2 linked regions of the Arabidopsis thaliana genome follow. The protein of the gene in region 1 interacts with the protein of each later gene in a pairwise test. Each region holds a gene or a part of one and is shown on either strand. Other genes may lie near its edges.

Region 1 (8,177 bases):
TCAGCGTCATCGGTATGTTCATCGCTGGTGATTTCAAGGTTAGTCACTCTTTTGAATCTGAAAACATACAAAAGAGTTTTTAACAGAGACTTGAGCCCTTTACTGTTTTTGCAGGCCTTACCAAAAGAAGCAAGAGAGTTCAAGCTTGGAGAGGCATTGTTCTATGTGGTGGCTGTGTTTTCAGCCATCATATGGCAAGGCTTCTTCTTGGGAGCCATTGGATTAATCTTCTCCACATCGTCTCTCGTCTCGGGTATTATGATATCAGTGCTTTTGCCAATTACAGAGGTTTTAGCTGTTATATTCTACCATGAAAAGTTTCAAGCTGAGAAGGGACTTTCTCTTGCTCTCTCCCTTTGGGGCTTTGTCTCTTACTTTTATGGTGAGATAAAGTCTGGCGAGGATAAAAGGAGAATTCAGCAGGAGGAGAGTCAGGAGACAGAACAATCTTCTTTGTCAAGACCCATAAGTGAGTGTTAAAACTCAACGAAGCATGGCTTTTCGTTTAAAGACATCATAGCACTCATTTCTCCGCCAAGTAGATTAGAAGATATGTTTGAGAAACTTGTGGGATTATGCCGAAAACACAATCTTAAAGGACTTTTTTTTTTCTTTTCTTTATTTCAGCTTAACTTGTTTGATGTCTCTTATTATTCACATCAAATGAGTTTGTAATAGAATTATGAGGTCAAACAATGACACTCTCTGTTATGCTGGTGAGCTTTTTGTTCTACCAGCAATAGATGAAATTAGTCTTCATTTGTCTTCTGTTGAATGCTTTTATCTTTCATCTCTCGTGGTGGCTTCATCCCATTAACCTGCTCAACAATAGCGCCAGCAGCACCATTAACGAGAAGTCGCGGATGATCTGAGGACCCGTTAGATTCCACCTGTAAGTTCAACCAGTAGAGAGCTTCTGGTAAAGCCTGTTTGGTTCATATTCATGATTCTTCATTACTATAAGGAACAATCGCTAGTGAGGAAATAACATTCAGTTGAATCAAAATGTAAAGAAAAAGCCCCAACAGACATTTTGGCTTTCTTACACTGTTTCCCTTAGAGCTTCTAGTTATTTCTTATAAGAGAACCTAGGTATCTCATTTTTCAATTATGTCTTGTTGTTATCTACATATCCGCCTTTTCTAACTCTTATTTCTAAGCAGGCCTAGAAAATGTACCAGTAATGTATAAGCATCACTAATTCTTCTATTGTAACCAACTACATTCCTTTGAGGTGAATTATACCAGATGTCCATTTACGTCTAACCATCTAATATTACACACAATATGCTGTTATAAACACAATAATAAAATTTACTTACCAACTTCCTTCAGCAGAGTCGCTCAACTCATTGTTGATTTCTTCCTTTGCAAACTCTTCCAGTATAGCACGCTGACGTTCATTCACTTCACTAGTAGATACAAGGAAAAAAGTAAACCGCATAAGCATATACCAGAAATCTATCAATATTAGCTCTTGACGGAAATGAAAAGAAGAGAATCCAACACATCCACATGCCACCAGAACATCAAGAAGCTTATGTAATCAGATTTAATAATCAGACGGCAGGGAAATTAACACAATGTTGTCCTAGGAAAATTATTTCAAAAACCGTAACTTTAGAGCAACAAAGTGTCTTTTCCATTCTAAACACTAGTAGAGTTTTTAGCATAGCATAATGTGGATGTCTCCAACAAGTGTATTACTTGAACTTCAAGTAAAAGAAATCTTACGTAGGAAAGTTAACGCGGAAGCGAACATACTGATCTCCATGATCTACAAAAAAGCCTTGCTTCGGTAGTCCTGCAGGAACTAACCTATTAAGAAGAGTACACGCAAATACACAAAAAAAATTGAACATATAGGCTGATAATTATATGTACCTTTGCCTCTTAAAACAAGAAGTTGATCAGGCTGAGTCCCCTTTGGTATCTGCAACAATTACAATAAGGTACCTCTATTATCTCCAAAGCCTTGAGATCTAACCTTCCTCTTGGTCAGAGGATGAAAACCAACTTGACTCAAATTATAAACAAACAAAATATTATATGAATCTCACTGGGAGACGAATCTTACATCTAGCTGTATCTTGCCTGAAAGTGTTGGCACCACAACTTTGCCCCCCAAAATAGCCTGTCAAATAAGTTTTCTAAGACATGTCCAGTATGGCTCAAGGGAGAAATAGTAGGAACAACGTGAACCATAAGAGATGAAAGGATGCACTATAATAGAAAAATACTGCAGCCGAGGTACTATGGCTTGGTGGCAAAATAGTGCAGTAGCATGCACTTGAGTTTTATGACTGGGGCCATCAAATTGAGTTTGAACCGATATGCCACATTATCTAGTTTAGAGAATAAGCGCATCATATACATAATGATAAAGATGCTACTAGCTAATATTATTAAACCTAGTAGTTTAGTAAACTTTTGGCACATAAACCAGTTGAATAGGACAAAACTCATTAATTTTCAGCTAGACTCCAGATAACTTTTCTCTAGTTTATGTCCTCTAAGAGGTTTTATTTTATCATAGGACATGCCTAAATTATGTTACTGCAGAGCTTTATCAGCTAGCAGTTAAGGCTTTTGAGTTTTGACCACAAAGTGTCACCATGCAGAAAAAACATGAGTTTCGAAGGTACTGCTCTGCTTATAACCCAAAATTCAGGATTCACCAGTGTGCTTACTTGTGTAAAGCTAATATTAGCATCCACATATATATCTGAGCCATCCCTAGTGAAAGTTGAATCATTAGCAACCTGTGACCAAAAGAAGATTAGATACGTGTCAATAAAGGAAAATTCAGCATGCAGTAAGACCCTAAATGAGGCAAGAATGATGATAGAATTGAAGAATACTTTACAAGAGAGCATGAACAATTGATTCACTGGATGTAATAAGTCTTGATTATATAGTGACGCAACAAACAAAGTAGAGTAGCAATCACATATAAATCTGTGAACATTGGTTTAGATCATTTTTGAAATGAATTCGTTCAAAGTCAATATATGACTTATAACATGACTTTGCCACTTATATTAACTGTTTTATCTCTTAGGTTAAATTGATCAATGGACTTAAATGGTAGACCAATCATCAACGTCAAGGGTGAGTTTGATTCAAACTTCTCTAGGCACGTCTTACAAAATATACAAGTACAAATTTGAAGAAAATACAGATGCTTTAACAAACCTTTAGTTTGATATACAAGTTCCCAGGTTGACTTGTTCTTGAACTTACATTACCAGCACCTACGATTGTGATTGTAGCTTCAGACTCCACCCCTGTGGTCAAGTACAGAGAGAAGAAAGCAAATTAAAGTTTGACAGAATTTTGTCATCAAAAACCTATTTCACTATCTAATCCACCAAAGTCATGTAAGATGATAATCGGAAATCACAATCCCAAATTCATTGTTTCATCTTTGCCCCAAAATACCAAGCACAGAATTAACCAGAAAATGTAAATTGCCAAGCATAATCTTAGAAAAGAAAAAGAAAAGCCAGTCAAACAATAAGTGTGACCGATATCTAAATTGGATTACATCTAAACCACACAAATCCTCAAAGAAAGGAACGTAACAGAGTGAATGAAATCTTGCTACTCGTTCCATAGCAGACAGACATGTTTGGAATCAAAACCAAGTTAAAGATAAACAAAAGCATGAAGATTTAGACTAACCTCCAGGGATCACAAGTTCAGCTGTCTTTGTGCCTTCCACAATACCTGATCCTCTACAAGACATGCAGTATTCCTGAAGAAATAAACACATATATACTCGTAACCAGTGCCAGAGAGATAACTACTGAAGCGTCAATAAAGTAGCTCTTTTTCTCAAACCTTAATAATGTGTCCCGTCCCCTTGCACGTCTGGCATGATGCTGTAAAAGGAGGAATAGTTACCTGTTAAAGAGACAGACAGCATAGTACTGTAAATAGAAATTGTATGATTTATTAACCCTCCAAAGAAAATAAAACTTATATCCTCTAAATGGTACTTACTCGTCCAACCCCCCTGCATGTTGGACAAATGCTCATGGCAGCATCGCTAGGGTGGCCAAGCCCATCTGTAAAATGATAAACAATGCGAGATTGGGATTCATGGTTTTGCAACAATATTACTTTCACCCAACTGAGTTTACTCGTCCTCTCAAAGTTGGCTGAATCAGTAACTTTTTAAAGACAGAAGGCTGTAAATGTTACAAGAATAAAATTAAAAAAAGAAAAAAAAAAAAGAGACAACAAACTGTAGATACATGTACATTAACATCGATGGATCACAGAGCCATTTCCAGAAGTCTATTCTTCGTTAAGAAAAATATTTTACCATTTTGGGCAACTGAATAATAATGTACCATGACGAGTTAGGACTCCTAATTTAAAGTGTCTATACTCTCAAGTATCTTTACAGGAAATCTTGCGAGCCATGACTGGCTTGTCAATATTAGTAAATGCAAAAGAGACAATATAAGAAAACTTCTGTGGCCACTCACCACAGGAATCACAAAAGACATATGCATCAAAAGACAAACGTTTTGTGCACCCTTCTGCAGCTTCGGAAAGAGAAAGCGACAGTTCCACCTATTCAATTTTTAACAATATAAACATGTGTATTACTGAAGAGCCCTACACAACAAGATTTATATAAGTCAACCAGATTCCAGTTGTATAAATAAAAGAGAGAATCAGAGAAACTGACCCGAATATCAGGTTTTATCTGATTGTTCTCAAATATCTGAATAAAGTTTACTAATGTTAGAGATTTAACTAATCACATAAAAAGATGAGCAAAAGGGAAACATAATAATGTACCTCAGAAAAAATCTTGTGGAAAGTATCCGAGAAATTGGACTGGTATGCACGTCTGAACCTCTCTGAATCACCACCGTCATTATTTACATAATCCGAATTCCGATACTGCAGCTGGATCGAGTGATAACATCAAGAAATATATTTAGTGATCTCGCCACCAGATAAATAAGAATAAAAACAACAAAAAAGCGTACCTTATCATATTCTTCTCTTCTTTCCGAATTTCCCAGGGTCTACAGTTTTTTAATCCAACACAAAAGTATATCAGAAGATACATTCAAAATACACAGATGATGGCAGATGGAAAAGAAAAAACTACCTCATATGCCTCTCTTATTTCCTGGAACTTCCTTTTTGCTGACGGATTATTTCTATTTGTATCAGGGTGGAATTTTTTCGCAAGCTGCAACAATTGTGCATTCACTCATCAATTTTGAGCAGACAACTTTTACTAATAGTTTTTGCTTGATGTAAAAAAATGTTTAAAGCTGAAGAACAGTCCACTAACAATGAGCCGAAAGACTCACCTCATGAAATGATTTTTTAATCTCCTCCCGTGTAGCTTTAGGAGAAACACCGAGAACATCATAGTAATTACGAGCACTGGAGTTGTTTATACCTGAGAACCATTATCCAAAACCAAAAGCATTTAATGAATAAAATGATACAAAACATCATTTTATTCATTAGCGTGAATGCAAAAAAACAAGACCTGTAGCGTGAATGTATCGCTCGAACAACGGCTTCTGAGACCCTGCAAAGAGTCAAAACTTCCAAGTAATGAATGCATATTTCCTATAGTCTGTAGATAAACACAAACATCAACTGGAAATTCCCTCATGCCCCTAATGTTAGCTACCACGGAGACCTCGAGATTACATTTCGATTCTTTAAAATCAACTCTTGAGTTACCTTTAATAGTGCCCAATACTTTGATACCCCTTCCTGATAAACCCTAAAACCCCATTTCAGCTAAAATTATCACTACATTAGAAATTCTAATAAACCCCAAAAAACTTGACATTGTCGTTGGTCTGTTGCATATACACCTAAATCAGCTCAGAGAAGGCGATAAACCTCGAAGAGCATATGAATGTCAGTTTTTGATTCCTTTTTGAAACAAGCAAAAATTGACGAAATCAATAACCCTAGTTTAACAACTTTTATACATTACCTTGACGCAATCCGATCGCGGAATCAAAAGTTCTTCGAGCTTGTACATGCCGCAGAACCTACGATATAAACATAAATTACAAAATGATTTCAGCTCTCTCGAGGACTCAATTTCAAAATTGAAAGGAAGAAGAAGAAAACGATGAAGCTAAATCTAGAGAGGGATGAAGAAAACAAACCCAGTTGAATCTTCGCATGACTCTTGTGAATTCAAAGCTAAACAGAGAGGAAAAAACGGAGAGGTTTTTGATTTTGAGAGTTAAACCCTTAGACCATTTCCATGATAAATTCCAAACAAACATAAATCAAAAATATTAAAATAATAATTTTTTAATCAGTTTTTTTTAGAATATTTTCTGAAATGAGAAACTTGGAGAAATTTTATCTCTCTTCCAAATGTCATCTTGTCATTAATTTCTTTTCTTTGTTATAAATAAAATCATTTATATTTTATAACATCAATTAAATACTTTATATGTTTATTTTTTTTTTTTTTTTTACTTTTAAAATTCATAAAATTAAATTATCTATATAACAAGCTCTATTATATATATGTTTAAATTATATACGAATATTATTTAATTGGTGTTAGTTAAGCATTAAACATAATAATAACTTATAAATACAATAGTTTTTTTTTAATTAGAAAACAAACATTTAAAATTTTCTATTTTTATTTTACAACATTTTTGGCAATCGAATTCGACTTCGTGATAGAGATATGCACCAACAACTAAAAGATGACCTAGTTGAGCATATATGACAAAAGTTTGGTGCATTATCAAATGAAGAGTAAAACCATAATAGATAATATAGTTAGTTTTGATTTATGTTATCATGGTTTTATATGTAATTTCTGTGTAATTTATATATTTTTTCTATTTAATTTATGTTATCATGGTTTTATATGGAATTTTATGTTTAATTGATATATTTTTTATTATGATTTTATATGTAAAGTAATGTTTAATTATGTTTAATTATGTTTAATTATGGTTTTAAAAATAATAAAACTATTTAATAATATAATTGTAAAAATAATAATTGATATGTTTGAAAATATTGTAGAGATTTTAAATTTAATATAAAAAACATATAATAATATGTTAATGTTAATGAGATACTCATAAGAGTATTTCACCAATGGAAGCACAATTTTAGTATAAGTTTCTCTACTTAAATTAAAATATTAATAATATATTATGAGGTACTCATGGAGTATCTCACCAATGGAGATGCTCTTACGCATATGCTGACGAGAGACGAGAGAAGAGACGTTCGCTAAATCTTTTGCTTTCTCGCCACTACGTCCAGAGTCTCTCTCTGGTTCAGAAGACTCGAAATGGGTTAAACACGTATTCTCTCATTCTCCGTAGTTAATTAATTTAGTGAAACGGTAAAAACAAAATGGTAAAAAATTGGCGGTCGTTATTTTGTAGCGGTAAAGAAAATAGTGAGTTAGACTATTTACAAGTTAACTGTTTGAATTAAAAGTTGAAAGTGATTTGGAAAAAGATGTTGTAGAATTTCTTCAACACCGTTAATTTTGTGAATAAAATCCTTGTACACATATAGTCTTAGAAAATTTGGAAAAAGGTTTGATAAATGTAACTTAGATGCTGCTTGGATTATAAAAAGTAAGCTTTATGGATACGGACTTGAGTTCCCAAGATCATTTAGGTTCAATCTGATTTTGAGGTTTATATAAGAAGCTTCATTTAAACCGTTGAGTGTTTGAGCTATATGAAACTTCAAAAAAATGTCATTCGTTTAAATACCATCAAGAAGAATGTGAATCAACTTTTCTTTTTGGATGAAAACTAGTTTTTTGATATGGTAACTATGTTTTCAACACAACAAAATTTTATCGTCGAATGTCCGAAATGATAAAGACACTCTTAACCTTCATCGGAAAAAATAGCAATTTTTTGTGGTATATCAATAGCGGTTACAATCTAACTTGTTTTGTTGTTGTTATTATGATTAGAACTGTCAATTGGGTGGACCGCATGTGGGTTTTTACAGTCCAAATACACACGGACGGATTATGGTCTGGACTCCAAACTAAAAAACATAAACCAAGCAATCAAAAAGTTAGAATAAGATATTTTTTAGTTAAAACAAAAATCGTAAGTGAAGAAGGTCTGAATTTCTTGAGGAAGATAAACGGGCACAAAACCGGTGTACAT
Region 2 (4,370 bases), 3.5 Mb from region 1:
ATGCAGACTGATGTGCTTGATTGGTGGAAGGTAAACAGTGGAAGATACCCGCGACTTTCCAACATGGCTCGGGATTTCCTTGCGGTTCAGGCGACTTCTGCTGCACCGGAAGAGATCTTTTGTGGTAAAGGAGAAGAGATTGATAAGCAGAAGTATTGCATGCCTCATGATAGCACACAATCTGTTATTTGTATCAGATCATGGATTGAAGCTGGTATGAAACTGAAGTACAAGTGTAGTGAGATTGACTATGAACGACTAATGGAGTTAGCTGCCACCGTGGCCGCTGATAATTCTGCCGGAGGTTTAGAAAAAATTCAACAACATAGGTGAGATTATTTTTTAGTATTTGTACTAAAGAACTACTGTAATTTAGTTGTCATACTTTTAGCATGAATCATTGAATTTAGAGTTGGGTTGATGTAAACCAAGCTGGTTAGCTTTCTTCATAACCGTATGTACTTTCATATCATATTAGAGAGAAAAAAAAACACAATGTTGACTAATTAATGGGTTCTGTCTAACTAGAAAAGTGGAAATTAGTTGTACGAAAAAAGAAAATAGCTTATCTCTTTCTTTGTACCTTAGATTTTTCCTTGGTATAATGGATATCGATATGTCCAAGTCCAGTGTTTGAGTGACCAAGTTGTTGCTTTAATTTAATCTAGTTCAAATACGACTACTTTTGTGTTGTACCTCTCTACCTTACCTTCCTCGAATTTTCAATTCGTGTGCTAGTTTGCCAATTGTTTCTTTATAATTTTGTCGTCTCTATGATTGTTTAAGCATATTTAAATATTTGAGAGAAAAAAATACTAAGAGTTCAGTCGTATTTTGAAAAGTCCTCGCACTCCAAGTTTTAAAGTTGAATTCATTCTGTCATGGAAACGTACCTTTGTGGTTTTTCATTTCGATAGACATTTTTTAACTCTTCTGATAAATTCAAAATGTTTTTTTACATTGGTTAAAATTTGTTGCCAATTTCAATAAAGCTTTTTTTTTACTCGTTATAAAATTAAAAACTTGCTGAGAAATTATAGTTTCATATATACTTTGGACCGACGGTCAATACCAAAAAACTAAAATAAAATTTTGGTCAAGAATCGGGTCAATACAAAATATCTCCAAAGATCGAAGAGAAAGTTCAACAGGATTTTAATTTAATTGGTGTTCCGGACCTGCCGGCGCCGTATTATAATTCTTCAATAAATTTTATATTTTGGATTGCATAATCAAAACTATTTGCATAGCAGACATAGATTTCAAAATAAATTGATACGTAATTAGCTATTTACATAGGCAAGACAATTTTACGTTACATATTTTGCATGCTTGATATTCATTCTTTTTTTTTAGCAACCTTTGCTATATTCATTCTATTTTTTCCCCTTTTTTTGCTACTATCAATATCATATCAGATGTGGCGGTTCTTATGCATGGGATTATGAAAAATGATATTATATAATAGATGTCTTCGTAGTATTTTTTTATTGACAATCAAAATAAAATAAATTAGTTTAAGAAAGATCAAAAGTCTAGTGTCAAAATGTCCACTGACAAAAGTTAGCAGTTTTTCTTTTATGTAATAATCCGATTATAAAAAATTGCGTTAAGGAATCATAATGAGCCATGTGTCAGTCATATTTAAACGACGACGTTGGCAGCAGCCACACGTACAGCCTCAGGCAAGCATAAATAGAGATGGGCTCTTTCCTATAAGTTTCCCACTTTGCAAAGTGTAACACAAACAGTTCTCTTTAGAGAAAAAAAGATTCTCTCTATAAAACCTTCTCTTTGTGTCTCTCTTTGTGGTAAGAAAACAGAGCAACTAGATCTCTCTTCTCCTCTGCTCGTTCAATGTTATAACGATCTCGAGTATCACAAAAGAACAAGATGTCTATTCGAAGAATCTACCGATGTCTGAATTCTTTAATCAAAAGATCTTGTGCTCAATCTCTATGATCATACGCCCCATTTCACACTTTGTTTCACCTCTCAGTTTTTTTTTTTGTGTTTTTTTGTCCCTCTTTGTTTCACTTGAGAACAACCCCCTTTGAACTCGATCAAGAAAGCTAAGTTTGAAGAATCAAGAATGGTGCGGACACCGTGTTGCAAAGCTGAACTAGGGTTAAAGAAAGGAGCTTGGACTCCCGAGGAAGATCAGAAGCTTCTCTCTTACCTTAACCGCCACGGTGAAGGTGGATGGCGAACTCTCCCCGAAAAAGCTGGTATGTATTATTTTTTATTATGTTTATTCCGTCATGTTTGAATATTCAATGTTGGACCTTTATTGGTCATTATTGCTCAATTATTTTACTTAAATAATTCTTCTAATTGGATAGGACTCAAGAGATGCGGCAAAAGCTGCAGACTGAGATGGGCCAATTATCTTAGACCTGACATCAAAAGAGGAGAGTTCACTGAAGACGAAGAACGTTCAATCATCTCTCTTCACGCCCTTCACGGCAACAAGTTAGTCTCTCTACCTCTACATTTTATACTTATTTTTTGTTTGCATTAACATTTACTAATATTGTAATCTTATATGTGGTTTTAATCAGATGGTCTGCTATAGCTCGTGGACTACCAGGAAGAACCGATAACGAGATCAAGAACTACTGGAACACTCATATCAAAAAACGTTTGATCAAGAAAGGTATTGATCCAGTTACACACAAGGGCATAACCTCCGGTACCGACAAATCAGAAAACCTCCCGGAGAAACAAAATGTTAATCTGACAACTAGTGACCATGATCTTGATAATGACAAGGCGAAGAAGAACAACAAGAATTTTGGATTATCATCGGCTAGTTTCTTGAACAAAGTAGCTAATAGGTTCGGAAAGAGAATCAATCAGAGTGTTCTGTCTGAGATTATCGGAAGTGGAGGCCCACTTGCTTCTACTAGTCACACTACTAATACTACAACTACAAGTGTTTCCGTTGACTCTGAATCAGTTAAGTCAACGAGTTCTTCCTTCGCACCAACCTCGAATCTTCTCTGCCATGGGACCGTTGCAACAACACCAGTTTCATCGAACTTTGACGTTGATGGTAACGTTAATCTGACGTGTTCTTCGTCCACGTTCTCTGATTCCTCCGTTAACAATCCTCTAATGTACTGCGATAATTTCGTTGGTAATAACAACGTTGATGATGAGGATACTATCGGGTTCTCCACATTTCTGAATGATGAAGATTTCATGATGTTGGAGGAGTCTTGTGTTGAAAACACTGCGTTCATGAAAGAACTTACGAGGTTTCTTCACGAGGATGAAAACGACGTCGTTGATGTGACGCCGGTCTATGAACGTCAAGACTTGTTTGACGAAATTGATAACTATTTTGGATGAGTGAAACTCATAATCGATGAATCCCACGTGACCATGTCAATATGATGTCTATGGATATGTTACCTTGATGATGTTGATGGTAATAATAATAAATAATGATGGTGATGATGACCATGCATGAATCATGAATGTAGTTCGTGTTGTCACATATGCTTGTGTTTTTGTGTTTTTTTTTTTTGGTCTGAAGTGTGTTGTTTCGTTGTAAATGGATTATAAATGGTGATGTAATAATTATAATGTTAACGAGTTGTTAACTTTAGTACTTTTATTGTGTTGGTTATCAGAATTTGTATCCATCCGAATATGAGATTGCTTTATTTTGAAAAATCATTCATTAGCTGCTGCTGCTGCTAACTACTAGTACCATTGCTATTTTAAATTTTAATTGGCAGTATTCCACTATTAGGTCATCTTCATCTGTAAGATACTTTAAAAGGTTTTAAAATAAAATAAAAAATTACTGTAATTTAATTTTGTAATTATTTTTTTTTAAAAAAAATATTCAATTATAAGCAAACACTTATAGAAATAGTCTTTCACTGATTATTCCAAAATTTCTCAAGAAACGTTTCTTCATTTTTTGTCATTCTCTCTCCTCATTTATTAATTATTTATATTATCTTTATCAAAAGAAACTCTAAAAATTGTATGGATGGAGATGCTCTGGTTTATTTTATGAGTTAGGGCTAATAGATTGAGCAGATTGGTAAAGAAATATATCCTCAACCAGTTTTGTATATTAAAAAAAAAACCAACGATTAACTTATTTTGTGACTTAAATCTTTCATTCTCTAATGTATATAAAATTCACCCTATCAACATACGAATAATATTCAGCAATGAGACCCACATAAATTTAAAGCAAGCGAGAGGATCATTCTTTGAATGTTCCGAGGGTTAAAGATAAGAAGAAGTTGATACCAAAAAAAAAAAAAGGATAAGAAAAAGTGCATTATGATCCCTAACCTTTCGAAAGCACCATGAAGAAAACAAAAGCAAAAGCTGATTTGTGATTT

The links.
Region 2: the proteins of ATJ1 (region 1) and MYB51 interact in a two-hybrid assay, tested with the Arabidopsis thaliana proteins (one study listed by BioGRID).

Annotation. Positions count from the first base shown.
Region 1 is NC_003070.9:9,852,606-9,860,782, reverse strand, and holds ATJ1 (DNAJ heat shock family protein), read right to left. Parts: upstream 6,267-8,177; 5' UTR 6,186-6,266; coding exon 6,168-6,185; intron 6,048-6,167; coding exon 5,990-6,047; intron 5,570-5,989; coding exon 5,528-5,569; intron 5,435-5,527; coding exon 5,343-5,434; intron 5,219-5,342; coding exon 5,135-5,218; intron 5,049-5,134; coding exon 5,010-5,048; intron 4,927-5,009; coding exon 4,816-4,926; intron 4,739-4,815; coding exon 4,703-4,738; intron 4,585-4,702; coding exon 4,497-4,584; intron 4,071-4,496; coding exon 4,006-4,070; intron 3,907-4,005; coding exon 3,844-3,906; intron 3,758-3,843; coding exon 3,685-3,757; intron 3,288-3,684; coding exon 3,196-3,287; intron 2,763-3,195; coding exon 2,691-2,762; intron 2,135-2,690; coding exon 2,078-2,134; intron 1,934-2,077; coding exon 1,885-1,933; intron 1,805-1,884; coding exon 1,735-1,804; intron 1,413-1,734; coding exon 1,323-1,412; coding exon of another isoform or gene 1,319-1,322; exon of another isoform or gene 927-1,318; coding exon of another isoform or gene 899-926; and 4 more. Other genes in the region: PUP3 (purine permease 3), read left to right, coding at 1-38, 115-480. UniProt on the Arabidopsis thaliana protein: Plays a continuous role in plant development probably in the structural organization of compartments.
Region 2 is NC_003070.9:6,387,673-6,392,042, forward strand, and holds MYB51 (myb domain protein 51), read left to right. Parts: upstream 1-1,726; 5' UTR 1,727-2,092; coding exon 2,093-2,228; intron 2,229-2,342; coding exon 2,343-2,472; intron 2,473-2,561; coding exon 2,562-3,354; 3' UTR 3,355-3,714; downstream 3,715-4,370. Other genes in the region: AT1G18560 (BED zinc finger and hAT dimerization domain-containing protein), read left to right, coding at 1-333. UniProt on the Arabidopsis thaliana protein: Transcription factor positively regulating indolic glucosinolate biosynthetic pathway genes.